Lepisosteus oculatus: one gene and its partners. The protein of the gene in region 1 interacts with the protein of each later gene in a pairwise test. Links are inferred from orthologs where the notes say so. Each region holds a gene or a part of one and is shown in the gene's direction. Other genes may lie near its edges. The genes, in order: efhc2, plod3 and cope.

What was found.
Region 2: the proteins of efhc2 (region 1) and plod3 interact in binary tests that used the Homo sapiens proteins (3 or more experiments, as listed by UniProt). The link is inferred for Lepisosteus oculatus from reciprocal best matches to the Homo sapiens genes EFHC2 and PLOD3.
Region 3: the proteins of efhc2 (region 1) and cope interact in binary tests that used the Homo sapiens proteins (3 or more experiments, as listed by UniProt). The two-hybrid records come from large-scale screens. The link is inferred for Lepisosteus oculatus from reciprocal best matches to the Homo sapiens genes EFHC2 and COPE.

Annotation. Positions count from the first base shown.
Region 1 is NC_090710.1:3,617,800-3,627,880, forward strand, and holds the start of efhc2 (EF-hand domain-containing family member C2), read left to right. Parts: upstream 1-6,011; 5' UTR 6,012-6,338; coding exon 6,339-6,371; intron 6,372-8,089; coding exon 8,090-8,278; intron 8,279-9,953; coding exon 9,954-10,081. Other genes in the region: fundc1 (FUN14 domain-containing protein 1), read left to right, coding at 1,343-1,418, 2,125-2,253, 4,522-4,599. UniProt on the Homo sapiens protein: Microtubule inner protein (MIP) part of the dynein-decorated doublet microtubules (DMTs) in cilia axoneme, which is required for motile cilia beating.
Region 2 is NC_090698.1:6,904,712-6,914,254, forward strand, and holds the start of plod3 (multifunctional procollagen lysine hydroxylase and glycosyltransferase LH3), read left to right. Parts: upstream 1-4,716; 5' UTR 4,717-4,888; coding exon 4,889-4,979; intron 4,980-6,364; exon of another isoform or gene 6,365-6,539; intron 6,540-6,613; exon of another isoform or gene 6,614-6,780; intron 6,781-6,942; coding exon 6,943-7,034; intron 7,035-7,305; coding exon 7,306-7,442; intron 7,443-8,296; coding exon 8,297-8,460; intron 8,461-8,831; coding exon 8,832-8,944; intron 8,945-9,390; coding exon 9,391-9,454; intron 9,455-9,543. UniProt on the Homo sapiens protein: Multifunctional enzyme that catalyzes a series of essential post-translational modifications on Lys residues in procollagen. Plays a redundant role in catalyzing the formation of hydroxylysine residues in -Xaa-Lys-Gly- sequences in collagens.
Region 3 is NC_090724.1:5,804,551-5,814,891, forward strand, and holds the start of cope (coatomer subunit epsilon), read left to right. Parts: upstream 1-5,806; 5' UTR 5,807-5,821; coding exon 5,822-5,971; intron 5,972-6,550; coding exon 6,551-6,613; intron 6,614-7,087; coding exon 7,088-7,188; intron 7,189-7,594; coding exon 7,595-7,747; intron 7,748-8,322; coding exon 8,323-8,376; intron 8,377-8,760; coding exon 8,761-8,842; intron 8,843-9,459; coding exon 9,460-9,615; intron 9,616-10,341. UniProt on the Homo sapiens protein: The coatomer is a cytosolic protein complex that binds to dilysine motifs and reversibly associates with Golgi non-clathrin-coated vesicles, which further mediate biosynthetic protein transport from the ER, via the Golgi up to the trans Golgi network.

The DNA of each region.
Region 1 (10,081 bases):
GTATAATAATAGCTAGAACGCTCATTAGCTATTAGTGGGGAGGAGAACAGAGTGATGAAACCAATTCATAGATGTGGATAATTAGGAGGCCATGATTGGTAAGGGCCAATGGGAAATTTGGCCAGGACGCCGGGGTTACACCCCTACTCTTTTCAAGAAACGCTCTGGGATTTTTAATGACCACAGAGAGTCAGGACCTCGGTTTTATTCTCACCCGAAGGACGGCGCCTGTTTACAGTATAGTGTCCCTGTCACTATACTGGGGCATTAGGACCCACATGGACCGCAAGGTGAGCGCCCCCTGCTGGTCCCACTAACACCTCTTCCAGCAGCAACCTTAGTTTTTCCCAGGAGCTCTCCCATCCAGGTACTGACCAGGCTCACACCTGCTGAGCTTCAGAGGCCTGCGAGTTGTGAGTTGCAGGGTGAAATGGCTGCTGGCGTCTGCTGGATATCGTCTGCTGGACAGGAGCTTCTTTAACGCAGCAATAAGATGCAGTGCCAAGTCAGGGCTGAAATGTGAGTTTTCCTGCCCCCCCCCTTCCCCATAATCAGCACAGGTGTGCAAGGGGGCTCCCAATTTGCTTGTTCAGATATCAGGCAGCAGCAGCGTTACGGGCTTGTAGCTTGATCTCGTCGGATCGCAGAAGCGGAGCAAGGCTGCACCTGGTCAGTACTGGGATGGGAGATCTCTTAGGAAAAACCAGGTTGCTGCTGTAAGTTTAGCTCATAGACCAGCTGTTCTCTCTGGACAGTTTGGTGACCTGGGCCACTGCTACCGTGTAGGAGGTACCATTCCACTAGACTCTTGCAGGTCATGTAATATCTCAATGTCATTGATTATGTGGCTTGGAAGATGGCATTACTTAAGGTGCTTAACAATTAAGGCCTAGAACTGCTGGTCCAGGCATATGTTGTGCAGGATAGCTGGGTATTTTCAGTCATCTTTAATGAGTGCAACATAAGTTAACAACAGTTAATCAGACCTGTATCTTTCTGTGCATTCTGGGCCTGTTAGCCAGAGGATTACTCCCTGCGTGGTTCTTGAAAGCAGAGCTGACTCCGGCACCTAAAATCAGGGCTGTTTCAGCAGAGCGTCATTCAAGGGCAGAAAAATGCAGTATTTGGTTAAGTAAGTATTGTAAGTATAATCAAGAAAAAACATTAAAATTGCACTGGCCATACTGTAAAAGGGTGGCTTTGAACAGTAAGGGATAATGTTGTACCACCCTGGACACTCCAGGGCAACAGCAGAAAACCCTGAGGCACGGGTTGATGCCTTTCTCTTTATCTTAATTTATTCTTTAAAACCCCAGCCCTGACAACTGTTTCCCTTGGGCAGGTGCGCAGGGTACCTGTTCCAGAGGGTTGGGAAGATTGCAGCAACTGCGGTTGGCGGCGGCTTCCTTTTACTACAGGTACAGAACGAATCGTGCTGACATCTGCGACGTCCAGAAACGCAAGCCTGACAAACGGAATGGGGCCACCGGGGCGTTGAAGTGTCCTTGCATGCTTGGCACAGCACTGACTTCTCAGGAGATAGGTGTGCTTCCGCCCCGGTTCACTGATTGGCTGGGAGCGTGTCAGTGCTGGCACTCTCTGTGTTTCATGTCGGTTGGCCCATTGCTTCGGCTGTTAAGAGGAATACTAAAAAATAAAGTGCAGAAATATCAGACCCTGGGAGGAGAAGGAGGTACAATGCATGTGTTAAAATGGTGTAATCACAGGTTGGTTAAATGTAATTATACCACATCCAAATGGCTTTCAGATACCAATGTAATAGATCAGCATCTAGTTGTGTAAAAGATTCTTGCTAAAAAAGTTTGATCTGGGAGCCAAAAAAAGAGGTGATGCTTCAGTTCACTCTGTCAAGTTCTAAATGTGCAATGGCTCTGGTTTCTCATGAATGCTTGTAGCATTGTCTAAAATGGGAAACTAAGGGGTTGGCTTTTTTCTTCCGTATTTGAAGATGCCTGAACTGATTTGTAATCAATACACTGATGATGATATTGCCAAAATCAAACATTATGGGTTTGTTTACATTTAAATCGCTGTCAGATTGCTGCTCTTCGCAAACTTTTTCTCCTGAAATGTGGGAACGATGATTTTGTTGCTCCTTTCCAGATTGCAAATCACAGCGGATACGTGCAGGTCGACTGGAAGAAGGTAGAAAAAGACGTCAACAAAGCTAAAAAGCATCTTAAAAAGAAGGCGAACAAAGCCGCCCCTGAAATCAATAGCTTCATTGAAGAGGTGAGACTTCCAACCCATAACGACGCAATTTCTGTTGCTGTCAGAGGGTGCTGCTATATTTAAATACCCTCCTCCCCCTTAGCACGGTGGTATTATCCTGTTTTCCCATGGTGCTTCCAAACCCAGTGCTGTAAGAAATATCACACTTCCGCAGGGCCATCTGCCTCAGACCTCGCATGGCACTGAAGGTGCTACCATATATGGAATGTGTTCGTATTCTCTCCAGTTCAAGCTCAGTCCTGTCTTGCAGTTCCATCATCTCCGCGTGAAGGCTTCTCACTTGAACACAGCTCTGTGCACTTGACTGCAGGATCATTCGGGTTCAGGATCACTGGTGGAAATCCACAGTGCTACCTTTGAAATTGTTGTATTTCTTTTGTAGTAACACTGGCTTTAAGAATGAATTCAGTGCAGTTGTTAGATCATATATTCTTTTGTAATGTAATGTTAAGCAACAGCTTTTGCTGTGGAAGTGGAAGTGCCTGAAGTTAAATGTGATCCAAGATCCAGTGGAAGCCACGAACTGAAAGTGGAATAGATAAGAATTGCTATAATCCATATCAAAGAGTCAATGATGAGGAACTGTGGTTTCAATTCAATAAAATTAAAAATACCTGTTTTCTTGTGCAAATCAAGAGGCATTACTTGTACATTAATTAGTTGTTCTTCTGTGAAACTGTGACGCCTGCCTGGTAAATCCCGTTCTGAAGATGGATTGCTGTACATTTCAAGCTAGGACATGGTTAATTTGCACACAAAAAAAGTTTAAGGATTAAGTAGAAATAAATTGTATTTGTTAAATTCAGATCAGCATCTGGTTGTGTAAAAGATTCTTGCTAAAAAAGTTTGATCTGGGAGCCAAAAAAAGAGGTGATGCTTTGTGTGGATTTTTATTTGGTGAAGCCTTCCAAATTTAAATTTGGAATCTTCCCCGAGTAGTTATCAGCTCAGCTCATATCGTGGCGGGGTGGCGCGGTGGCTCTGTGGCTGAGGATCTGCGCCTGCACTGGCCGCAGGTTCGTATCCAGAGGAATCCTACTCCGACGGGCCCCCGAGCAAGGCCCTTAACCCCAACTGCTCCAGGGCCACCATATAAAAGGCTGACCCTGTGCTCTGACCCCAAGCTTCTCTCCCCGTCTGTGTGTCTCATTGAGAGCAAGTTGGGATATGAGAAATGACAAACTCCTAATACAAAAAATTGTATATGGCCAATAAAGTGATCTTATATCCTCACCCCTTGTTCCATACTGGGAGAGAGGAGATCAATGCATGTACTCCTCAGCCCCGCCCACCTGTCAGAGCACACTTGCAGTCCTCAGCCCCGCCCACCTGTCAGAGCCACACCTGCAGTTTTGCTCCTTAGCCCCGCCCACCTGTCAGCATCTCCCACACTATGTGCCCCATAGGTCACTGGCAGGTCTTGTGGAGGAAATGCTGGACACACAGTCCTGGTGTGGTTCAAGGAGCTGCCACCACCTGGGGGAATGTAGGCACTGCTGGCCAATAACATGGCTCAGTTTCAGCCACCCAAGACCCAACAGATATCATCTCCTGACAGTGCTTTTGTTAATGCAGTAGTGTTTTAAGGCTAATGCTTATTAATCTTTTTGGAGAATAATGTTTTGATACAATCGAAGAGTTGTATCCTATCCAGGGTGTGCCCTGCCTTCCACCTGTCAATCTCTGCGATAGGCAATCGGTGGTTAAAAAAAGGATGGATGGATACAATTGAACAAATGCAAATTAAATGATTTTTGAGCCTGTAATAATGGAGGGAGGCACTTGAAACTGAACGAAACTTAATTTTTTTTAAGAAGTCATTTTGTAGATCCTTAGAAAAATGTGAAAGCACAGCTGGAATAGCTAAACACTGGGTATTAAAGGTGATAATATTTCAGGCATTAGCGCCCCCTATTGGAAGAAGTGACCTTCCTTTGGTTATTCCGTTAGGAATAGTTTCTTAGACAATTTTTAACACTTGTGACATTATTATCACAAAGCACTGTTGCGTTTTTGTCTGCTTGAATGTGCAGTGTGTGCATGCTCTGATGCTCATATTGTTCCTTTCTCTGTTTTCCTTTGTGTTCTAATACATTGGTGTACAAAGACGTTCATCTGTCACATTCAAGACCTCAGTGGCCCTAACCCAGTCACTGGAATCTCGGGTCCTCTCCCTTCTTATTGTGACCAAGAATAGTAAAATATAAGTTACAATTATAAAAAAAGATGATAAAATATAATCTTTGCTCTTCCTCTTCTGTTTTGCAGTCTACGGAGTTTGTTAAGAAAAACATAGTGCTTTCCAGTGGATTTGTGGGCGGGTTCCTGCTGGGACTGGCATCTTAAAGCCAGTTTGGAGAGATGACCTGAGATCCAGAATAATAATAACTGTGAAGTATTTCCTCTGACTGGGCTGGTATAAGAGAAGGCGCACAAGCAGAGCAAAGCCATGGCATGCTGCAGTTCTCTCCTTCCCTTTACTGAGTCTCTAGAGCCATTCGAAGCTGGGCTTCTTAAACACAATACAATTAAGACTGTACGGGATATAGGCTTTGCTTTACGTGTTTCATTGCATTCTGAACTGTTTTGCCGCGCCATTGATGAGTAATCTGTTTTGTTAAAGGATTATTTTAATTTTACTGGACAAGAAACATGACTACGCAAGGTATATGACCAAGTGCTGAATATATTCCTTAATATTAAGGGTCACGTTGAGTTACAATTGAATTATTTTGCCTCTGTTTAACAATGAACGTTACAATGTGTATTAGAAGGAGTGGGATAATATATTTATTGCTGTACTGCCATAACATAAATGAGAAAATAAACTTTTTTTTTTGGTTTGGTGTCTTTTTTTACTTTTTACTTAAAGATGAACGGATTGACAAATACTACTTTCATCTTTCATTTTTCAATTACATTACGTGGTTATATAATTGTGTGTCTTTTTTAGTTCAGCCTTAACTGCAAATGTACAGCAGCTACCTCCAGAGAGTTGAAAGGAGCCTAAGACAGGTCAGCTGTACTCACCTCATCTTTGTGGTGGAAGGTAGACATTAGCAGGAGGTTTCACTAGGGTGTAAGTGTCCCGTACAGCACCAGGCACAAAACAAAATGAATGTATTCTGTAGTTTTGGCTTTGTACCATCACGCAGGACCTGAGGAATAAGCAGCAGGCTGATATTCTCCTCTTGTTAGTTTTAGTGAGGCTAGATGCTGCAGATTTTTAAAAACAAATTAGGCTGGCCTTGCTCATTAATTACGGTCCTTACATTTTCAGTAGGCCGGATGGAATTTAGATCCCGAATTAGAAGTGATACAATGGAGAGTGTTAGCAGGAGTGATCGAGGGATTCTCCAACCTTTAAAATGAAGGCAACGTGGCGATCTGGAAGATTATTGTGGAATCGGTTTGTCGTTTGCGCAGTGTTGAATACTAATATATCTTGGATGCAGCATATGCCTCCCAACCTATAGCTGGCGAAAGGTATAGAATAATTTGACTTCCGGAGCAAAATCAAACGTGGAACGCTATTTTTTATAAGACTCAGTTATTACAGTGAATAGACTTCTTTTTGATATTTTGTATTTTCTCTGAATAAAGACGTTTCCACGGTCTTGGAGATAAACGTCAACGTGGTGTACATCATTAATATCATTATGACGATTATGACTTTGATTTCCCTTTCCCGACAAGTGTCGTTTTCGTATTTATAAAAAAAAAACATACGTTTAATAGTAATTGGCATGTCATTCGGATAAAGCTACACGGAAAGAAATGGGTTGTGTTTTTGTTTAAAGAATCTTCGTGCTGCTGAAGATGGGTGGAGGGGGGCATGGGGTGGCGTAAAAATATGAATTCAGGCTGTAGAATAGTTAAATGTCATGTAATCCGCACAAGGACTCGGTCGTTCGAAAAATGACGAGCAATCGGCGACACACTTGCGTGTCTTCAAGACCTGCGCAGATCGTGACGTTTAGGAAGGTTTCCTAGCTACCCGCCGCAAAACGACGCACTCTCCTTAGCAACGGAAAAGTTATCAGTGTTTGGCGAGCTGTGGGATATAAGCAATCGCTCGGCCCATCATGTCGCTCCCGGGATATTCTCCCAACAAAAACGTAAGTTTTCTGCCAGTGCTGTTTCTGTTTAGTCCCGTATCAATTCTATAATAAGTGGTGAGGCGTCTGTACAAACTTTACCTAGCTAAGGGCTAGGTGCAGAAAGGGTACCAGTTACTCAAACGCTGCATTATTTAAGGTCTGTGCAGAACTTTAAAAAGAACACAGACTTAAATGAAATCCATATGATGTGTTTTAGTATTCCTGGTGGCGCTTTAGGTTGCGTTGAACACAGTTACCAACTTCGAGCAGTGCTTCTGTCAAGGGAAAACGCAGGGAAAGACTGTTGCTCAGCCATAAGAGAAAAACTCAGGACGGTTTCTGACCTCAAGCCTTGCTGGGTTTGTTGTTGAACGCTAATCTACAGTACAGCAAATCAAATACTCTGTTGAAAGTAGGTCCAAACAATATGTGTCACATCGGAGGTGTTCACATCCTCCGCACATCTTGAGCCGTGTTATTGCACTACATAGACGAACACAACACCCACTTTTTTAAACAGAAGAAAGGTGGCCAACGACAGGCCATTCGACCTGTATAGCACCTTTGGCTTCTAGTATCTCAGAGATACGTGGATCTTACTGAGCCATTTCTAGAAAGAAGCCAGGGTATCGCCTTCAATGACTGTGTTGTTTGTTCCCTGCTCCCACATCCCTTTTGTAAAGAAGTGCCTCCTGTTTTCAGTTTTAAATGTGCTTCCGCATAGTTTCCACGTGCGTCCTCGGATTTGTTTTAATGTTCATGTTGTCAGTACCTTTGAAGGAATTTTGCATACTCGTATCAGGTCTCTTCATAATCTTCTCTGTTCAAGTAGTTCGAGTAGGCAGCTGCGTCAGCATGCGTAGGCAGCAAAGGAACAGGTAAAGGTTTATTCCACGCCGAAAAGAGAAGAAAAGAAGCACAACATTTCGGCTGTGGAGCCTTCTTCCGGCAAAGAGTAAACCTTTAATTGTTTCTCTGTTCGAGGCTCGAAAGGTTGAGATCCTTCACCCTGTCCGTGTAGGACATCCTCTTAAACCCAGAGTGCCTGATTCTGGATCAGCAGTATCTATCTTTTCTAAAACATGGTGACCAAAATTGCACATCATATTATAAATGAGGTCTTCTACATTTTTAACATAGTATCCCCCAATTTTACTGTTTAATTAATGCACAGGAGTGTAATAACAGTAGCTGTGTGTATATTACTGATTGGTTTCACTGAGTAGAAGATCATTCTCTATATAACAACATATTGTTGCTTTAAGGGAATTTGCATCAAACTCTGAATCTGTTTTCCCTTTCCTGTCAAGCACCACTACATTGAAACGAATTCCATATGTTACTCTGTTTCTGAGAAGATAACACTATCCATTTTTTTTAATGTTATTGGTTGTAATGTAATATTTTGCTGAACTCTTATGTTATACAGAAAAAGGAGTACTTCAGACATGTTTAGCCTTTTTAAGTGGAAGGATGGCTGCTGTGAAAATTGGCCCTGGTGTGAGTGTGTGTCTGTGTGTGTCCCAGCTATCCTGCTCTGCCCCCACTGCTTGCTAGGATAGGCTCCGACTCCCTCATGACTCCGACAGTAAAAAATATTGGAAAATACAATATTCGGTGGAAAATACAGAGTCTCACATAATTCCGAGTCTTTTATGGGCCTTAGGGTGCTGTTTTTAAAATGTGCGACAGTCCCTCTTTAAAAGTCCTTTGGTCTGCACATTTTGATCTTCCAGCTGGGAAAGGAGAAATTTCACAAGTCCCAGCATTTTGATTTTTCCAACGGGGTTCGGCTGGCGGTCGGTGAAGAGAAGCCTGGTATCGGGGGCGAACCACTCCCGGGCCAGAAGATCCGCCCCAAGTACTCCATGTTCCCCCAAGGAGAGGGCAGCGATACTCCCTCATGGGTTGCCTTTGACAAACAGGTACTGCACCTTTCCCAGTAGTCTCTGTTATTGTTATCCAGTGACATAAAGTAACCTTGTGTGACATATCACAGGTATCTGTAACTAATTACTAATTACTAATTAACTAACAATGAGGTTACGGATACATCAAAACCTAATGTAAAACACAGCTATAACTCTCTGCAGCTCACAGCTGGCAGCCCACTGAATCTCAGTTGGAGTGAGGCTGTTCAGTACCTGGATGGGAGACCTCCTGGGAAAAACCGAGGTTGCTGTTCGGAAGAGGTGTTAGTGGGGCCAGCAGGGGGCGCTCACCCTGCGGTCTGTGTGGGTCCTAATGCCCCAGTATAGTAAAGGGGACACTATACTGTAAAAGGTGCCGGTCTTTGGATGAGATGTAAAACCGAGGTCCTGACGCTCTGTGGTCATTATAATCCCCGGGTGTTTCTCGAAAAGAATAGGGGTGTAACCCCAGTGTCCTGTACTCCTCCCTACTAATAGCTGATGTGTGGTGAGTGTACTGCCACACTTTGGATGCCATTACATCATCCAGGTGGGGCTACATATTGGTGGTGATGGAGGGGACACCCCATTACCTGTTAAGCACTTTGACTGGAGTGTCCAGAAAGCACTATGTAAATGAAAGGAATTATTAATACTGTACAGTATAGTGCAGTACAAGACCTACAAAAAAACTGTTATTGTACATTGAATTGATTGATGCCTTTTCCCAAGACAGGTTACAGTAAAAATTCTGCAACTCATTTTAAATAACATTTAATAAGGGTAAAAAGAGAATAAAATCTACAATTTTCATAATGTAGTGGACATGCTATGCGAGACAAATTTAGCATAATAGAAACCCAATAAATGCAAAATGAAATGGGATTTGAGCAGTGTATCATGCTGAGGGGAAGGATAATCGAAGATCACGATCTAATTCCAACCTGAAAAAATGGATCTATGGAGAACCAACCTGACTGTAAACATAGGTTGAATTGTGGAAAAAGAGCTAGTTCCAGGGAGCCTCTGGTCTCTAAAAGAGCAATCGAGACAGTTTGTCACAGCTTGGAAACACCTGCCTGAGGTTTTTAAGAAGTCAGTGGGCTGAGGCTTTTTGACTGACTAACAAGCTGGTGAGGAGAAGGAATAACTAGGAATGACTGAGCGGGGCCATTTTGGAGAAAAGATGATTATCAATGGAGGAGGAATTCACATCAGGATCACCCTAGTGAAAACACAAACATGGACACAAGAACTAATAATTGCGATGTCTTTCCAAAAAAAGCCTAGTGTCAAGGCCTGCAAACACGCCCCCATCCACCTGGTCCTTTGCAACAGGATCAATATTCTTTCAGAGCGCGAAATTCCACGGTAATTTCAGCAGGGCTTTTGAAGTGCAAATTAATTTTATTTTTCTAAAAGCAAATTTAATTGCCAAACCGTGTTCCTATTCCTTGTTTGTATTAATTCCTGCAATGTCTCATTTTGTCTTAACCATTTCCATTCGTTTGACCATTTTAAAGTTTGTTTTTAAAAGTGGATGAGCACAACAAGAAATTAGAATAATATTTAGGCCTTTAACTGATGTTATTTAATTGAGGTGTGAAATTGGTTGAGTTCCACGGATCTGATCGGTTAAAATTACAGAGAAATTAACTTTTTTTTTTTAATTGACCATGGATTTCTGTAGGTGCTTTGCTTTGAAGCACACTTCAAAGAACCAGTTCATGAAAGCAGAGTCGAGCAGCTCCGAATCAGGAAGTGCAAGATTTACTTTTTCCTGGAGGATGGAACTATACAAGTGGTGGAGCCCGAGAA
Region 2 (9,543 bases), on another chromosome or scaffold:
TGTGGCAGTAGTGGATCAGGAGCTCATATATTCATTCAATCTGGATCCCAAAGCGGGCCAGCTGTATGCAGGTTTTGTGTGTTTGGTCTTGTTTTCTGGGGATGAGCTCTGAAAGAGCTTCAGTGGAGTTGCAACCAGCTTCTGTGTCTTCATGTCTTGGAATGCTGCCTACTTCATAAGGGCAGAAGCAGACTTGCCAGCCACAAGAACATTAATGTCTGACAATGAACCCAGATGAGAGACAGTCAGGTGTGACAGCTGTTTGTAGGGTTCGTTCTGTATGTCTTTGTAGGTTTTGGGATGTACCTAGCTTTCTTCATGTTAAAGAAAGAGCTGCCTGTCTAAGGAATCTTTGTTTACCTGACTAAAAGAGTATGCAACACTGTCCAAGAACTGGAAAGAAGAATTTCAATTCTGTGCTGGTGTTTATAATTGTACCATGTTTAACCCTTTTACATTCTGTGTGTAAATTTACAGTATGTTGTATCCTTATCCAACTTGCAACATTTATGGCTTATAAAATGCACTCTATGCACTTGTGCATTTTATGCTGAGTAATGAGAGAACACAGTGTCTCTCTGCTTGCTCACCAGATGGCTGTTCATAAAAAACGTGTTTTAAAATCATACTGAACTACGCTGTGCTTTTCTGCCTCCCTACATATCCACATTGGAAAAATATACAGGAGACATTTACACCATCTGTGTCTGGTGCTCAGTTTCCTTCCTCAGAAGTTCATTTCGGAAGAGTCCGAGGGATAAGCTCTCACAGAGGCAGGCACTGTAAGGTTTGCTGGAGAAGAAGGATGCAGTCACCCTGGCCAGAGAAATCCCCAGATCTCAATCCTATAAAAAGACATGGTAAAAATAGAACTAGTAGAACGTGCAGTTCAATCAAAGATCATGCTCGCTTTCATGACAAAAATTCACTAAAGGCAATCCTGCTTAATCTATACAACTATATCACCGTTCACAGCTGGCAGCCCACTGGAGCTCAGCAGGTGTGGGCCTGGTCAGTACCTGGATGGGAGACCTTCTGGGAAAGCTGAGGTTGCTGCTGGGAGAGGTGTTAGTGGGGACAGTTGGGGGCGCTCACCCTGTAGTCTGTGTGGGTCCTAATGCCCCAGTCTAGTGATGGGAACACTATACTGTAAATAGGTGTTGTCCTTCGGATGAGTAATAAAACCAAGGTCCTCACTCTCTGTGGTCATTAAAAATCCCAGGGCGTTTCTTGAAAAGAGAAGAGGTGTAACCCCGGTGTCCTGGCCAAATTTCCCCCTGGCCTTTTCCAATGATGGCCTCCTAATAATCCCCATCTCTGAACTGGCTTCATCACTCTGCTCTCCTCCCCACTGAGAGCTGGTGTGTGGTGAGCGTTCTGGCGCACTATGGCAACTGTTGCATCATTCAGGTGGGGCTGCACACTGGTGGTGGAGGGGATCCCCATTACCTGTAAAGTGCTCCGAGTGGAGTGTCCAGAAGAGCGCTGTATAAGTGTCAGGAATTATTATTATTATTATTATTATTATTATTATTAATCAATAGGGCGGGACTGGGTAGCACATACTGTAATTCCCAGCCTTGTGATATACAGTACATGTACAGCTCAGAGAAGCCCCTCCATGTTTGTTTGGGGGGGTTCCTGATTTTTGGGCGAGCGCACAAAAAATTGAATCACAATCCCATGTGCACTAGGAATAGCAACACCCCAGAACTAAATGTGGTGACAAATTTACAGAGTGTTTTACTCTCAGTGGGTTTGGCTTAAGGGCTGAGGGCCAACGTCCTGGCCGCAGGACGAGGAGGCTGGGACCCCCATGTGTACTGAGGGGTGACCAAGGGGCAGCTGCAGAGCTGGAGGAGGGGTGCAAAGGACGTGTGCAAGGGAGAGAAGGGGCTGACCCATAGTGCTTATTGTTTTAAGGTGAGGAAATGACATCAGGAATGATGACAAATTACTGACTGACGAGGCTGATTGAACTTGGCTGTTGTCATCTGACATGACTGGTCATGGGGCGGAGCGGTTGGACTGTGGCTCAGGATCTGTGCCTGTGGCTGGAAGGTTGCCGGTTCAAATCCTGCGGCCGGCAGAGGAATCCTACTCTGCTGGGCCCCTGGGCGAGGCCCTTCACCCCAACTGCTCCAGGGGCCCCGTATAAATGGCTGACCCAGCTCTCTGACGCCCAGCTCTCTCTCTGACGCCCAGAGAGAGACAGCTCTCTCCCTGTCTGTGTGTCTCATGGAGAGCAAGCTGGGGTCTGTGAAAAGACAAATTCCTAATGCAAGAAATTGTATAGGGCCGATAAAGTGATCTGATCTTACATACTTTGGCTCCAGACTCCATGAAGTGGCTTTGCCCAGGCAGGACTGGAGCTGACAAACCCGGGGTCAGTGGGTCTTTATTCCCACCCCTCCTCTAGGTGCTGTGCTCCCTGTGTGAGCTCTGCTCTCCTAACGGTGGGGCTGAAGGAGTTAACCATAAATCATCCCGGCTTCCCACCCACCTCCCAGCTGGGAGGAAGTTGGGATTCCTGGGAACAGCCACAATTACTGACCTTTCACATGTGAGTGTTCTCTGCATTTCATCCACGTAATCGTTCTCCAGCCCTCCGCTGGCAGAAGCAACAGAGAAAGACGAACGACGTTCCTACTCATTTTTTACGGCCGGTGTGCGCAAACATTTCAAGCTGTGCAAATTTTTTCACCAGTGACAAAACCTTGTGCGCACTAAACTGAGCTTATGTAAAACTGTAAACCTGAAATTATTTTTTGTTAATATAGTCATCCAAATATAAGCATAGAGATCCAAAAGATTGGGACGGCGATTCCACGAGCCCGGTCATAGAGACCGGGTGTCGAGCGAGCATGAGCAGTGGGTTCGAGACTACGAGAGCAGAGATACCGATTATCGAGTAGTAATAATAATAATAACGCACACAGCCAAGTTGAGCCTCTCGCAGCCAGTCTCATGTGGTCAATTTCGCATTTTTCAATTGACGACCGTGTTTGTTTTATTATTATCATTTTTGTTTGGGGGGGGGGGGGTTAATTTTTTGTGCGCAGTTCAATTTCCTATGTGCGCTGATTTCATAACCTGTGTACGCGCGCACACGCTCGCGGTTTAGTGGGGAACATCCACACGAAGTGCAGTGAAAACTGATAAAAACAAACAAACAGGAGGCTTTTCTGTACTCATACGTTTGAGGAACAAGTGGATCAGACACGGTCCGAACCGAAACCCTGTCTTCTCTCATGAGATGGCAGAAGGAGCAGATCCTTGGATCAATCAACAAGCTCCTGTAGACTGGCCACCCCTTCCTCTCATCTGCAGTGTTTCTTATGCTCCTAGGAGCAACAGACCATCACAAGAGAAGGACCCTCCCTGGGGACAGGGGTCCTTATCGCTGTGCCGGAGGCCCGCACGTCTGGTTTGAGTTCCCGGCCGGCTCTGAGTCGCCCGGCTGAACCCTTCACTGGCCCAGTTACAGGATGCATCTGAACCGTCCGACTGTCTTCGGCGCTTCATCCGCCTTGAAACTTGCCTTTTATCGTCTATGGTGTTTCGCAGGTCAAAATACGAAACCCCGGGGTTTCTAGGACAACAACAACAACAACAACAACAACAACAACAACAACAACAACTAACAACCTGCAATCAAGCAAGTTGTCGCTTCAATCAAGGCTCCAGTTAGGTCATTTAAAGGTCAGCAGAGCGGGCGCGCGAGCCGCCTGGGCCAGCCTGGAGCACCGCACGAAAATAAACTTCATCTTCTTAATAATCACGATATTCAAAAGCGATAAAACAGGCTTGGAGAAGCGGGGCTTTTTCTGTTGAATTGATCCGTCATTTCGGTTCCGGATCCCATCTGGTATTCTAACGTGCCTTTAATGTAACGTGATATTTAGTGTTGTTATTGCTATACTTCTTATTGTTCGCATTATTACTTTATTATTAATTACATTTTACATTAGCTACTGATACGAGAGCAATGCCATCGTATACAGGACAGTGTAAGCAAAAGCAGGTATAACAGATCGCAGTAGAAGCGCGTGCCGTTGTGCCAGTACAAAAAAGAACTGGACAACGGAAAAATACTATATCCGTGACGTGGGCCGTGATATACACACGAACTAGAGGACAACGTGGACACCCGGTAACAGTGATGGGTCCCGTCTTTCCAAATCAACAAGTCAGTTACATGGTGTCTCCACACTGAGAGGCAGGCTTTTCAATCCAGGGGCTAATTCAGGAATACTGGGCAGCGTGGAAATACGGGTCATTAAAAACCGGGGCAGATGATGAAGATAATGAGCACTATCACTGCGGACGCTTAACGGGAACTGCGGCGTTTCCCATTGAAAGTGAATTACAAGTCCGAAGAAGTCGTTCTGCATATCCCGTCAATAGACCTGGGACCCGGACCCCCCTCCCCACCAAATCTAGCCCCCCAGTTCCAGTTCCAATTCCTGAGACGTGGCAACACTCATCTTCCGACTCCCTTCCTCGCACGGGGGAGGTAACTCGGACACCCTCCTCCGCTATTCAAGAACTTTCCATTCAGGCAGCCGAAACATATTTTATAAAAGGAAAGTTTGTCCTACCCCCCCTTGTCGCCCCGCCCCCCCTCCTCCGGTCCTCTCTTACGACTGGGTGGCGGGCACATCAATCACCGGCCGGGCGCAGCTCATTGGCTGGCTCGTCCGAGGGGGCCGGAGCGGGTCTCGTGTGTCGGGATTTAGGTGCATTTTTTAGGCTCGGGCCAGTTTTCGCGAGACTTTGCGGGCGTCGGGTTAAAGGGAGAGTGAGTGGGGGACGTGTGCTGGAGCCAGAGAGAACAGGGTTAGGGAAGACGAGACAAAATTAGGGAAGGCAAGGGACTGACAGCGCAATGGAGCTGACTTCTGCTTTCCTCATCTGTGCGATCTGCCTCGGGATCTCGGACCATGTCGCGTCGGCGGACACGCAGGCGATCCCTCCAGGTAGCAGCGTGATCTCGGAATGAACAGTTTAGCGCACCGTCACAAGAGTACGCTATAAATTGCACCCGCATACTGGCATCTCAGTCCGCTCCGCTAATGCCGTGTAAACTTTAAAACACAAGGCCACTACAGCTGTGTTATTTCACGCCTTGTATGACTGCACTGTCTGCGTTTTACAGTAAGCTAGCTAGAAAAGGTGATTCTCTGGTAAAGAGATGACTCTTTTTGTGAAATGTACGTATTGCTAAGGCTGTTAACTTCGGTTGTATTTCACCATGGTACGCTTTTCGCCCAGAGTTCTCAATATCTGAGAAAATAAGGTCGGATCTCGGGCTGTCTGGATTCTTGGTCCCGAGAAGCTCAGTGCCATTAACAAACGGCTAATTCCTCCAATAAGACTGATTGATTAATTGATTGATCCGACCGCACAGCGCTATCTTCTTCCTATCCAATCACTGGAAAGTAATTGGTCTCTGAAAAGAAAAACAAACCGCTTTATACAAGCAGTGAACTGTTTGGGGAAACTGGGCGGAGGGGAGCACTAAAACCTATGATCCCAAGTTCCTACGCAGCAGTGAAGACGGACATCGAATCGATCGGCTGTTTTCCCAGACGGGTTGGAGAAATTTTGAAAACGTCTTAACGGCGGATTCGACACATCAACGCAGGGGCGCAGGCAAATGTCGTGAGCGGTTTCATTAACAGGTCGGCTCGCCGGAGGGAGTGAAAAGCACTGCGGTGTCAGCCTAAGGGTGCAGTACAAAGCGGCGATTGATTCACTGGTGCGACCCCACGGCTCCCCCACCCACCCGCGGGCTCGCAGCGCGGGGACACAGTCACGTATGAGAGAGATGACACTTTTTTAAGAATTTTTTTTTAAATCCTTTGACCGAGACCAAGCAGACAACGCACACAGCCGCAGTGGTTTAGAACCAAAAATCAGAATCGGGATTTCTAAGATCTCTCCCTTACAAAGGCGCTCTCCCCAGCCCCCAGCTGGGTTCATCTCCGGGTTTTCCCATGAGAACTGAGCGATATGGACCGTGGTTCCCGCTTTCTGACCGTTACTGTGGGGAGGAAAAATTTAAAAAGCAGAAATAAGGGCTCTCTCCCTGGGGCTGCTGGCCTCTTTCATCTGTAAATGAAAAAGAATTTGACCCATTGTGAGGACCGATAAAGTGCTTTTTACCAAAATAATACCCACTGAAAGGTAGATGGAGTTGGAGACAGTGTAGCAAGTTTTATACTCCAATATACAGCCTTAACCTGGCTGACACCCCACATTCTTAAAGTTTTTTCCTATCGGAATAAAGTTGATTTCACCCAGAACTTCTCACGATAAGTACACATTCTAACAAAATATTCAACTTTCGTCACTCTGAAACCTTCTCAACCGGGGGCCTGTCCTTGCTCGATCGGTGCGATGGTGGGGCCTGGATTTGCACAATGAAAATGAGTCCGAGCCTGACCGCCGGGTTTTGTCCGTGCCGTTTCCTTGGCCCGGTTCTGGAGCCGCGGAGCCGGAGCTCGGGGGATATTTGTGGTGAATCTTCGTGCAAACTGTGGGGAACAGCACGTGAGGATGTCAGAATTGCGTACGCTGACCGGTTTGGGTAAATCCGTGTGGCTCCTACCTGAGATCTCGGCACCTGGACTCTGGTACAGTGGCGAGTTTGGGTTGGTCTTGCTCAGTCTTGCCTGCCATCCCCCCATGCCCACGGGGGTGGGGCTGGGAGTGTTGACTCGCAGGGAGGGGGACGTCCTTCCAGAGAGCTGGAGAAGGAGATTGAGTATTCAGTCAGCCTGTGGTGTTCTGGTTCAATCACCTCATTGTACATGTGCCTTTTGGATGCCGTGTATTATGTGATTTGTATACTATAACAGTATGTACATTAGAATGCAGTGTATAAGTGCATCGTACTACATGCTTAACATCGGCTGCACTGTGATCTGTGTCCTCTAGAGAACCTGCTGGTGATCACAGCGGCCACCCAGGAGACGGACGGGTTCAAGCGCTTCATGCGGACGAGCAGGCAGTTTAACTACACCGTCAAGGTGAGGCCCTGCGCTGCCCAGCCCGTCCCTTGAAGACGGGGGTAGAGGGGTGGAGGGCAGTTTGTTCCCCAGGCTGGGTCAAGGGGCGATGGACTGAACGGGTGTCGGCGCCCTAAGCCGACGCAGACGGGAGGGAAAGCCAGTGTTGCGTTCAGACGGGGTGGTCTGCCTCTCTAGGGATGGGGTCTGGGACTGTGATCGGTTCTAGCTCGTGTCTCGCCGTCCTGCTCTTGGTGGTTAACCTTCCCCCTCTGCTCTGTCTCACCCGTAGGTGCTGGGGCTGGGGGAGGAGTGGCGGGGGGGAGACGTGTTGCGGACGGTCGGGGGGGGACAGAAGGTACGCTGGCTGAAGAAGGAGATCCAGAAATACGCCGACAGACCGGAGCTGGTCGTCATGTTTGTGGACAGGTCAGGCCATGCCGAATGTGTCTCTCTCCGTCTCTCTTTCTCCTGGAATGTCCAGTTTCTTCCCCTCCCTGTCCACATGCTCGTTCTCCTCTTTCTCTGTTCCCGTCTGCGGCTCTGGTAACCGAACCTGACACCGGTCCTACCTGCCCAGACAACAGCTGCCCCACTTCGGGTGAAAAGGCGTTTTGTCAGTGTAATGAGGCGCCGAGGTGTGGCCGAGAGCTCACGAGCAGGTCCCAGGCAGCGCTGAGGTGGGAAACGCCACGTCAAAGACAAAGGGGAAAAGAAAGAGATGAAAAATAAAGCCTGCAGTGCGCTTATGGCAAGGAACAGGGAAAGCACTGAAACAAGGAAGCCAACAATCTGGGACAGAAACTATGGGGTAGCTAACGCACAGCAGCTCAGCTAACGACAGGGCCCTGAGTGAAGGGTAAGGGAAGTTGGAAAGGAAAACGGAACTAATAATGAAATAAAGGATCGATTAGTTGCCTGCTGTGGAAGTCTGCCTGCTTGAGCGTGTTCTCACAGCGCTGGGAGGTGTGCTGTCCCGCGTGTGCGTGCAGGACAGATCACATGCGCCCACTCGGGCACGACAGTCCGACAACCGATAGCGCTGCTGTCTCCCTCCTGCAGGGAGACGGTCAATTCTGCTGGCCACCCACGCATCACCAGCCAGGCTGGCCAGAGTCCAGGCACTTCATCCAGTGTCCGCAGGGCCCCAGTGTGCACAGGCACCCCAGCGTGGGAAGATCCCCTAAGTTCCAGGGGAAGTTCCAGAGTACCCATGAGCCTCGGCGTGCCCCAGCGAGGAGAGAGGAGGGCGGCCCTGACTCTTCTCTCTCTCTCTCCTGCAGCTATGACGTGATCTTCGCCAGCGGGCCCCAGGAGCTGCTGTGGAAGTTCGGCAGAATGAATCACAAGGTGGTATTCTCTGCTGAAGGCTTCTGCTGGCCAGATCAGAAACTGGCTTCCAAATACCCTCCTGTCTACACTGGCAAGCGCTACCTGAACTCTGGGGGTAAGAGACCGTGCCTGGTGGAGCAGGTGGCACAGAACAGACAAGTGCAGTGTGAGACAATATAGTACAGGCGAGTGTAGAACTATGTGCCGCAACAGTCTGTTGTAGTATAGTAAAATGGTCCAGGATTGTGCACAATTTTTGTGGGAGGCGGAAGGGAATTTTTAAACGGGACAAAATTGTCGATTCTGAACTCTACAAAGGGTCATTTTATAATCGGGAGCTGGAAAAATCTCTCGCGCAATTAACCGGTGAGTGAGTGCATTGTCCAGTGGAGAAAAGCAGTCAGCTTGAGCCTGCTGATGCAGAATAGCTCTGAACAAAGTGTTATGTTTCTTATGTCCGTATGCGTGTCTCCCTTTCTGTCCCAGGCTTCATTGGCTACGCCCCGCAGCTCAACGGCATTATCCAGCAGTGGAAATACAAAGACAATGATGACGACCAGCTCTTCTACACCAGGATCTACCTGGACAAGGCGCAGCGGGTCAGTTGAGGATAGTGGGGGCACACAGCACCAAGTCGGGAGGGTGCAGTGAGTTTGGAGTTTGCACAGCACACATCTGACGCAGCATCAGTACACAGCCCAGGACCACCTCTCAACAGAATCGGCACGAACTGTAACAAACAGAGCGTCCTTTATTCACTGGGGATTGTTGTGGGCTATAATTGGGCTGACCTCCGCCTGTGCTTGGGCTCCTGATCCTTCTGCAGCAGGCAGATGGAAGGTCTGCAGCATTCATGGTAGACTATTGTTGCTTTTGCAGACAAGCTTTGAAGGAGGCCTAGTCGTCGGCTTTTGTCCGATTCTGTTCTCGGAAAGCTCTTTCTTCCCGGTGTCAGACCATGCCCAGTCACGAGGGTTTGACGGACATGAGTGTGTGTGTGCGCGCTGTGGAGGAGTTGGCAGTCACTGCGGTGCTGTTCTTGCAGGAGAAGTACAACATGACGTTGGATCACCGGTCGCGGATCTTCCAGAACCTGAACGGTGCCATAGGTGAGACACTGTCCTCCCTTCTCCCGTCTGCTCTGCTCTTTCTCCTTGTTATGTCCCTCTTCCTCAGTAACACTGTGACTGCGTCTCGG
Region 3 (10,341 bases), on another chromosome or scaffold:
GTGCATGTTCCCAGTGCCAGGTTTCGCCACATGCTCCTGTCCAAATGTAATGCTAACCGTTATAACTGCTGTTTCTGAGCTGGACGTGTGTGTGTGTGTGTGTGTGTTTGCCCTGTGATCTGTCCAGCGGTCAGGTCCGCCTTGCGCGCTGGTCTTCCGGGATGAGCTCTGGGTTGACTCAACGCTTTACTGGGAACCGGCGGCTTCCCGATAACGGATTCATACGAAGTTGTACGCTGGCTAACGCAGGCAAGGATGTTTTCCAGTAACTGCTTATTTTCTCAGGGCGTTTGTAATATTATATAATCTAGTTTTAATGACGTTTGCATTCTCGATAACCCAGCTGGGGCGACAGTCGCAGTACAATACAGTACAATGTCGGGTAACTACATAGCAATTTCTCCCCCTAGTGTACAGCCGCGGCGCAACAAATACAATTCATCTACATTGACAAGGAATACCAACACTTCTAAAGGTTTCACTTAATATAGTGTTATTGGGTTCCAAAGGAAAGACGTAATCTTTTGTGTAACAACATGCTTTAGCTGTTGTATTTAGGAAAGCATTTACTTCTGGGTTATATCCCTGTAATTAAGGTTTATTGACATACAGATCTAGCGTTTCTCTGTAAAACCTGGCAGGTGTGTTTGCTTTTTAGTCATCCTGTTCTGTTGAAGAACACATGGTCCTCGGTAGTCACACCTCTCCTAAATTTCACGTCCCCGCATAGCCGGGACCGGCGTTGCCAAGGCAGCGATGCATCTGCGGGTTACCTAGGCAACCGCGGAAGCTGCTCCGCCCGGATGAGCTTCCTCGCTGCCGCTCTCGGAATCTGAACGTTCACACACTTTATCACTAAGATGTTAGGCGCTGTGTTTTCTTGCATTCATCCCAGCAAAACACAATTAAGCGTCTGTGGATTATTTATTGTTTGACTGTCATTATCTAACAAGGGATTATACTATTATGAATTGATCCACAAAGTCCCACTAAAGAACTAAAGGAATGTAGCGTATTTATGCAAACAGATTTAGAACTGTAAGCTTCCAATAAATGTTCTTTAGTGTATAGTATTGTTTTGATTAAATGCACTGCAGGCGAGAGAGAAAAATCTAATGAAAGACGCATTCATTTAGAAAACGCAGTCCTAACATCGACATCCGGTGGGGTTAACTTGAAGCCCACAGCAAAGAGCTGATAACGAAGTGACGTATTCATCGTTTCTTGGTGCCTTTTTGCAACTGACCAGGCAATAAGTGAGCTGTTTCTCAAAGCGTTTACGGAACCACGAAGCGCAGAGGCGACGATGTACCCCAAACCAAAACCAAATGGTACATTAACATTTCAAAGTCTTGGAAAAAAAACAACAACAATGTCCCTTCCTTTGACCTATTTTACCAACATACCGTAAGAAGATACAGCTTTAGGTATCTGTCTTCAAGTGCAGTTCGGAAGGGCAAGCAGATCCAGACATTGCACGGCGAAGATTTATCGTGCTTCCTTAAGGATGTTTTTATGACTCAACAAATCAAACAGGATATATTTCACGCGCGCCAGTGCCGCTAAAACTATACAGCTTGTTTCCCCTCCAAACAAGCTGCGTTTCGTCATACGCACAAATTAAATACTGATAATCGATCTCCGTTCACACTAATGCAACTGTGCAGAGTTCCTCTTCAGGCTTTCTCATGCAAACCCATGTATGTGGAAACACACACACACAGCTGAGGACGGCCATCCCTGCCGCCGAGTCAATGCGAGGCCAAAGTTCATCTCCGTTTTTTAACCGATCTGCTGGGTGGGGAGACAGGAGAGCGCTCGCTCGTTTTTAAATTCATTTGACCCCCCCAAACAAAGGCAGCGCATGTGAGAGAAAGCAGACATGCTACTTCTGTTTATCTCGACTAGCAAGCCGACACTGACAGCTGTCAAGCTCTCGGGGAACATCGCACACACGACCACCACCAAGTTCGGTGAAGAAGTTCAAACGTTTATAGACCTGGCAAAGAAACGGCACCTCGTGCGGAGCCAGGAGGGGAAGTCAACTCTGATTAAACGTTTTAATTCTACCGTTACTACACTTTTTTTTATTTAAAATGCTCTCTCCTAATGGCAACGCCCCCCATAATTAATAAAACCGTGCTCTGCGCGCAAGAAATAAATGTAGAACTTACCTATAAGCGTTCTTTGGCATGTTTTCAATGCGATCTATCACGAATATAGGTTAAGATTTGAAATTAACAACGTCTTACCTTCCTTTCTTCAATGCACACCGGATACAGCGCGTAAACGCACAAGAAGCGCCTCTCCGTCCGTTTTGTAAACTTTACTCAAGAGTTGCTTTTTCAAATCTTCATCGCAGCAAAATCCCGGACCTTCATTATGGCCAAATCAGACAATGGTCTTTTTTCTCTCTCTCTTCGCCTCGCAATGTCGGAGTCTTAACTTGTCGAAATCGGGTAATTAATTCCCTGCTTATCCGCGTCTTGCGTTAGACGGTATGGTCTGTGTCAGTTAATAGCTTGTAAATAATTGAAGAAGTTTTTTTTCTCTCTGGGATCAGTTACAGATGGGGGGGTTGAAACTTGACTCCTTACAAAGTTTCAAACTTGGGAGACTTGGGAGGCTGGAGTTTCGGCCGCTTGATTGACAACGTGGATGACCAATGACAGCACAGGACCTGCTGTAATCTGCCCAATCGGATAAGGCACGGAACGTAATGTGCCCGCCCCATTCCTTCCCTGCCCCCAGCCCCGTTTCCAGTAATTATCCACAAATCGGGTCCCAGCTCCGTGGCTCAGTTTCCCAAAGGAAATGGCATTAGCAGAACAATGGGAGGGAACTGAGAGGGATTTATTTGTTATAATATAAACAAACAGAGCTGCAGCTGCACGCATTCACGTTTTTTAATTAAAAAAAGATAAAACTGAAATCCAAACTAATAACGTCCTTATTCGTCTTAAATAAAATGATGTCATTTCCTGACGGTGCAGAGATCGCAGTCCAGATGCTACTACTACTACTGACGATATCAAGATATCCACAAAACGTAACATCCATTTTCTAATACGCCTCTTTTAGATCAGGGTTGGTGGGAAACCGGAGATTATCCCGGCAAGCAACGGGCGCAAGGCGCACTCCAGGTCAGGAACTGACCCCAGGGCTGCAGAGCTGTGAGGCAGCAGTCCTAACCACTGTGCTTCAAAATGCAACATGAATATTATTATTACTATTAGCATATACATCAAGACTAAATTAAAAGCCAGTTTTCCGGCACAAAATGTGGGTACTAAATGCAAGCTCCTTTAAAACTGAGAACAGGAGGTATTTCTGTACACAAAGGGTTGTAGGAGTCTGGAACAAGATACACAGCCCTGCTGTCGAAGTCGGCCTCTGATTTGCTGTACACATTTTCTCATGACCTGAACCTTTAATTATCTCGGTTTGACCAAGTGGCAGAGATGAACTGTCATTTCTTCGGAAACACGTACAGCTATAGGTGCCCATTGTTTGTTGATATAGTGTGTTTCTATGAGCTCAGACGGAAAGCTTCACGGTGGGGTTTCCCAATCAGCCCCAGAGCGGACCAGACATGGTCCCTTATATTAACAGACGGATGCTATCTGGACAGTATTGTTACAGCTTTCCGTCGCATGAATGGAGGCCTGTTAGAGGAATTCCTGTATTTAAGACAATTTCCGAACTAGACACGCATTGTAAATAAATATATATTGTAATTAAATGCCGTGCCCCATTGTATCCAGACACACAGCACATTTGCTTTGTCATATTAACGCAGGGGGAAGGAAACGCTCGGCATTGTACGTTTTCCTGTGTTAAACATTAGCAAACAGTACATGATCGGGGATTTCTATTCTGATTAAAAAGAAATTACATTCTAACCTATATCGCGATTGATGTACTTTATATCCGTAGTGCTGGGTTTCCTTTCCTTGGCCTATAATTGCAAAAGACATGAGAAGATGTGAATGGGAAATAACGCGATATGTCAAGAGCGATTTTTTTTTCCCCGCACTATATCCAGTCTTTCATGTTCTTCCCAGTGTGCGCGTGGGTTTCCTCCCACAGTCCAAAAGCATGCTGGTACAGTGGGTTTACTGGCCCTGAGTGTGTGTGTGTGTGTTCGTGTCTGTTTGCCCTGGCGTCTCGTCCAGGGTGCATCTTGCCTGTTACTCGAAGGGGTCGTATCCAAGTCACTTTCCCCCTGGAAATCTGTACCGCACCGCTACCTCAAGAACACAGGTTTTTGTTTTTTGCTTCCTCCGCAGGTGAAATGATTTATATGGAACTCACAAGGGCAAAGGACGCATACCGTGTGTGTGTGTGTGTGCACTCTTTCGGGATAAATAGCGGATTTCAGCGCACACGAACAGAGAGGCTCCCTTTTTATTCCCGATTTTGAAATCGCAAAGACACAAACGCACGCGGGAGCCGCTTATTTTGCGGAGCGCATGCGCATGGCCGAGTGGGGAATACAGTTTTCCAGGGGAGACAGATTTGGATAAGCCACCTGGATATGCTCCCCGCGACGCTGGGTTGGAAGAAGAGTTTAGAAAATTGTTGTTTTTTGGATTATTTAAACGTACTGCTCGCATTGTCCGCAAATATAGAGATAGTTGTTTTGCTTTTTTTCGATTGCGACGTAAACTTTTAAGTTAAAGTGGCTTTCGAAAGCCAAGCAAGGTTGGGACGAGTTAGTACTGCGATGAGAGACTTTTGACCCCTCGTTGCTGAGAGTGCCGCACGAATCTTAGATTGTAGGTCACCCTAAAGCACATGGTGCTGAAAACGATGAAAAACTAGGAAGACGTTTTTAAGTAACAGAACAATTCAGCGAGTAATGTTTCGCTGGCCACTAGGGTTGAAGGCTGCTCTCATTTTAGTTCAACGTCATCGCTACATTACTCAGTCGAACACACCCCTTGATTAACTGACCACAGGTAAATGGATCCACGACTTTAGAAACGAATGATTAAAGACTACCTGTAAAACTGGACGGACTCCCCTGCTCTAAGGAAAATGAGGCAACTGCTGTTAGCTTTGTTGATCGGCCAGTAGGTGGCGCTCTGATCCCTGGTTCACAATTTCCAGGCCATTGTCTGCCCAGGCATGGCGGCCGTGGACACTGTGCTGTAGGAGACGCCGTCCTTCGGCTGGGGCAATAATCCGAGGGCTCTGGGCTTGTAAAACGTGGCCTCCCTAGAGTTCCCCCTTTGCTTCCTTGGTTAAGGTCCTGTGCATGGAGGCTGCAGAATGGATGCCCCTAGTCACCAGGAGGGGGCAGCACCTCAGCAGTGGATGCTGTCAATCCTCCTCCTATATGTAAAGTGTTAGAGATAATGAGACAAGTGACAGGTGCTATATTAATACAGTTTCTTATTCTTATTTCAAACGGCGAATACAGTATAAGGAAGGTCTTTGCTGTAAGGCAAATATCGCTACGCGGTACAGTCCTTTAGCAATAAAAATATGAAACTATTTAAGTAGCTTTTATTATACAAGAAACAAGAATATATATAAGGCTTTACGTCATTGTTGATGAGGAGGCAGACAATTGCACCGCTCACAAAAAAATAGAAAAGGAGAAACACAACGTTTTGGTTGTTGAGCCAAATCTAAAGTAGCGGAACACCAGAAACGTTTTCTGTTTTTCAGCTTGGAAGCGTCCTCTGCATTGCTGCTTTTACAGCCATCGCACATTGACGCAGCTCACTACTCAAACATCTCTAATTGAAAAATTGCCACTTTCAAACTACATCTCCCATAACCCTCAGGGGGCGGGGAAACGCCAGCTCGGGAGATGACGTGGCTGGCCAACGTGTCCAGGAAGCTGCTCGGTTCGGTCAACATGGCGTCTCAACAGGGAGAAGTTGATGAGCTTTTTGATGTAAAAAATGCGTATTATATCGGTAGTTATCAGCAATGCATTAACGAGGCGCAAAAAGCGAAGGTAAGGAGTATCTGGAAACGTTATTGTGGACTGTTTTTTAAACATTGCACTGTTGATTCAGTAAGCTGTTATTATAGTGAAGAGAACGAACCGAGAGCACATAATATAAACACATCATACTTCGATGTTTTTACTACTTTGATACAGTTGTAAAAACAAAGATTATATTTGAGTACGAGTGAAACAGTCGTCAAGGAGAATCCAGATCCGTTTTTTTTTTGTGTGTGATCGTGATTTCTTACTGACAGTATTTATAGTGCATCTCTTGTATAATGTTGGACAAATCGAGCCGTTGTAATGAAATACAGAGGAGTTTGGGACACAACTGCGGATCTGTGTTTAAAGCTGTATCTGTTATGTAAACGTTTCACAGAAGTACATCAGAGGTTTAGTTTTTGAAGCGTTTCAGTACCTTTCCGGATTCACGGACGTGTCCTTCAAGTGGCTGACAGGGACTCGAGGTTAAATCTTTATAAAGGAATATCAAACAGTGACATTGAACCAATTCCCTGAATTTAACTCACATTTGTAAGTGAAATAAGTTGTTAAAAAGTGATTCTCCCCTCCCTTCCCTTTCAGCCGTCAAGTCCGGAGAAAGAGGTTGAGAGAGATGTGTTTTTGTACAGAGCGTACATAGCTCAGGTAGGTACTGCTCCTTCATTTCCATGCCTGTGCAGAGTCTCTCTCTGTTTTCACCTGCTCTGCTGTGACTTGTCCATTGTCTCTTGGCCAAAAAAAAGGGACTTTTTTGCCATATGTTTTTTTTACCATAGCAGAAACCAGGCTATAATATTCAAAGTCTGTTTGAACTTTACTAAATGTCTGATTAATTGATAATGATAAATCCTTTCATGAGGGTGGGAACAGAGAGTATATTCAGGGGAACAGTAATTAAGTTATTATTTTATGTATGGAAATTCTTGTACCTTAATAAAACCACAAATATTTAAAAGGTCTGTTTGCTCAACGTTCACACATCTCCAGGATTTGTATTGTATCAGTTTGTGTGCAGGTGTTGGCCTGGGTTGATTTACTGCTGGATCTGGAGCTTGAAGGGTTGATGCTCTTGCTTCGCTGGACTGGTCGTGATAATTCCTCGTGCTCTTTGATTTTCAGAGGAAGTATGGTGTGGTGTTGGATGATGTCAAACCCAGCTCTTCACCAGAGCTCCAGGCAGTCAGAATGTTTGCGGAATACCTCTCTAACGAGGCCAAAAGGTCAGGTTTGGGTCCGTAAAAGATAAACAATACCTAATCAAACTGAAAAACATCAAAATGAAGGGACAATGAATGGAAACCAGAGCTAACTGCATGTCTTGTAAATGAGATTGTCTGTCCTTGCTAGATGGAGGGAATGCATGTGAGTTCTGTGTTGCATAAGAGACATTTTGGAAGAAAAATCCAAGACAGAATCTTTTCTGCATATAAATGCCCTTAAATTCATTAATGATCAAGCTGTTATTGTGCTGCATGTTTTGCTCAGAGGTGTCATCCTCTGTTGCTATGTTTGTGGATTATTTCGAGTCTGTGCGTTTGACCATGCTAGATGTTTTTTCCATAAGAGAGAGAGAGAGTGTGAAAATGGTTATTTTAACTGCTTGAAGAATCTCTGCCTTCGGTTCAGGGATGCCATTGTGGCGGAGCTCGATAAGAAGATGGCGAAGAGTGTCGATGTAGCCAACACAACCTTCCTGCTCATGGCCGCCTCCCTTTACTTCCACGAGATAAACACGGACGCGGCCCTGCGCACCCTGCACCAGGGAGACAGCCTGGAGTGGTAAGACTCTCTGAGCCCGGCAGTGTCCGCCTCTGTCTCCCTTCTTCTTGAGGGAGGAGGACAGGGGGCTTAGAAATCAGCTCGGGGATGAAGCAGAGCAGCCTCTCGCCTCCATTGCCTGCAGGGTATTTGAAAATGTTTCTGATCGGCACCAAAGTGCAAAAGAATCCAAAATCTGCCGTCTGCGGCCACTTCAGAAGTCTGATTCTTCTTTAAATTGATTTGATTTCAAATGTGTCTGCCTTTAAAAGCATGTTCTGGAATATGCCCGTTGCCTTCCTTGCTTTTTGAAAACGTAGAATGTTTTTAAGAAGTTGCAGGGAAATCAGTTGTGAGATAATCCTAGAGTTTTTAACTGCTTTAGTTCCTGTCTCTTGGCTTTTCCACATATTCAGAAAGCCTGTACCCTCATGTCAGAGGCCGTGATTAAATGAACATAATGTTCAGACTTTAATGGGTGAATTTGCAGCAGTGATGTCTATATGCCCTGTACACTTATTACCTTTCACCTATCCCAGAATGTGCTAACATGGCTTTTTTTTTAAATATCTTGTTGTTGATTAATCTCGTTATAGCATGGCGATGACAATTCAGGTGCTGCTGAAGCTGGACAGGTTGGATTTAGCCAGGTAAGTGTGGTAGGGGGGAATGTTTTAATCTTTGGCCAAAACTGAAAGGCCAGAGAGTGAACATTACAGTGTAATTTCTGTGTGTAGTAGGATTTGCATGCCGTGAATTTCAAAAATAATTTATTTTGTAATCTATATTGGTTTAGAGTGCAGGTTTAGTCATCCTTCCAACCTTGAGAACATGTTTGTCAGTAGTTCTTTTGCAGGTGTTATGTGTGCAGTTTTTTAAATGTATTTTGTAAAGAAAACCTGCTGGTAAATTCTACAGTTTTAGGGAAATCAGATATGTTGGAAATGCTCCAGTTATTAATTCAGACGTTCTAGTCTATTTGGCACTGTGTTCGGTGCGTAGACTTGTTCATCGACTGCTGGGTGTCTCCACAGGAAGGAGCTGAAAAAGATGCAGGAGCAGGATGAAGACGCCACCCTGACTCAGCTGGCCACCGCCTGGGTCAATCTGGCCATCGTGAGTAGCTGCCTCCTCAGACCAGGGTTTGAGCACCTCAGACTTGTCTGGAGCACCATAGGATGGATTTTGCTTCAGATGCAGAAAGACCTCTCCTTCTGGGATATTCTCAAGGAATGACAAACGCCTACGAAGAAAACAGGTTTAGCAATATTTGAGGAGTCTAGCAAAAAGCTTTGGCTTTATCTGCCTAGCTGAGGGTCAGCAAGGAACAAGGAGGTCACGACCCCCAAACAGACAGGGGACAGGGACAGATGGAGAGGAGGGGTGTAGGATGACGCCGAAGGATAAATGCGAGCAAGAGAGAGGCTTGCTGGGATATTTATAGTTTTTTCAGGAAGTGATGTCATGGAGAGCGATGCGTTAGAGTAGTAGAGATGAGGGGGGACCCTCCCGAACTTCCTTTTCGAACCATATTTATCGTTCCGAAATAATAAAAGTCCTGTGAAAAACGTAGCCTATGAGTGAAGTGCCGCTGTCGAGACATTTTGGAGGAGTCCTCAAATTGCCGTTCCTCGTGAATGCCCATCCATGCATCCTCAGGAATACTGGTTGTACTGTTTAGCTGTGTGGGCTCAGAGGGAGGTCGGAGTTCTTTGAGGTCTCTTTGCCAACAGGGAGGAGAGAAGCTCCAGGATGCCTACTACATCTTCCAGGAGATGTCGGACAAGTACTCCGCCACTCTGCTGCTCCTGAATGGCCAGGCCGTCTGTCACATGGCACAGAACAAGTGGGATGAAGCCGAAGGCGTGTTGCAAGAGGCTCTTGATAAGGTACAGTAAGAATGCAGAGGAAGGAAGGGCCTAGTGATCCACATTCAGGTCTTGATAACCCAATGCCATTTTTTCTGACAGGGTTGAAGAGTGCTTTGCTACAGCATTTTGTTTTTTTTTCTTAGAAATCATTGATTTTTTTTTATGCACTTGCCAAGACCTGGCTTCCACTGCTGCCCCAGGTATACAAAGGCACACAAACGCACTCACCTGTCAAACCCTTGTGCCTTGAGGCACACTGCTGCTTCACAGTGTCTTACAGGAGAGTTAACTGTGAGTGAGGGAGTAGAGCATCCCCCCTGCCTTTGCTGCAGTCTTACAGGCGCCCAACAAGTCCTAGGAGTCACTGTTTGGACTGCAAGAGGGCCTTATCGGTCGGCTACGGTTGTGATCCAAGTTCGAACCATAGACCATAAGGATCAAGCGCCTCTGGGATTAGGCTGATTTTTCTCAAACCAATAACTCACAGCCGCGGGTCAAAGATCTGTTGGGGGCATTGCTGTTGTAGTTCACCTTATTGTACCATAGATGGCGCCATGCCCCTGTTACAAGAATGTTAAACAATAGCTTGGTTTCTAATGTTGTGTGCTTCTTGGGTACTGTTGAGATTTTGTGTGATACATTTTTGTGGTGTGTGTGTTAGTACTTTTTGATGCAAAATGAGTAACAGGAAGCCCATCTGTGCGCAGATAGTGTCGAAAACTGGAGAATCCTGTCCAGTCATGT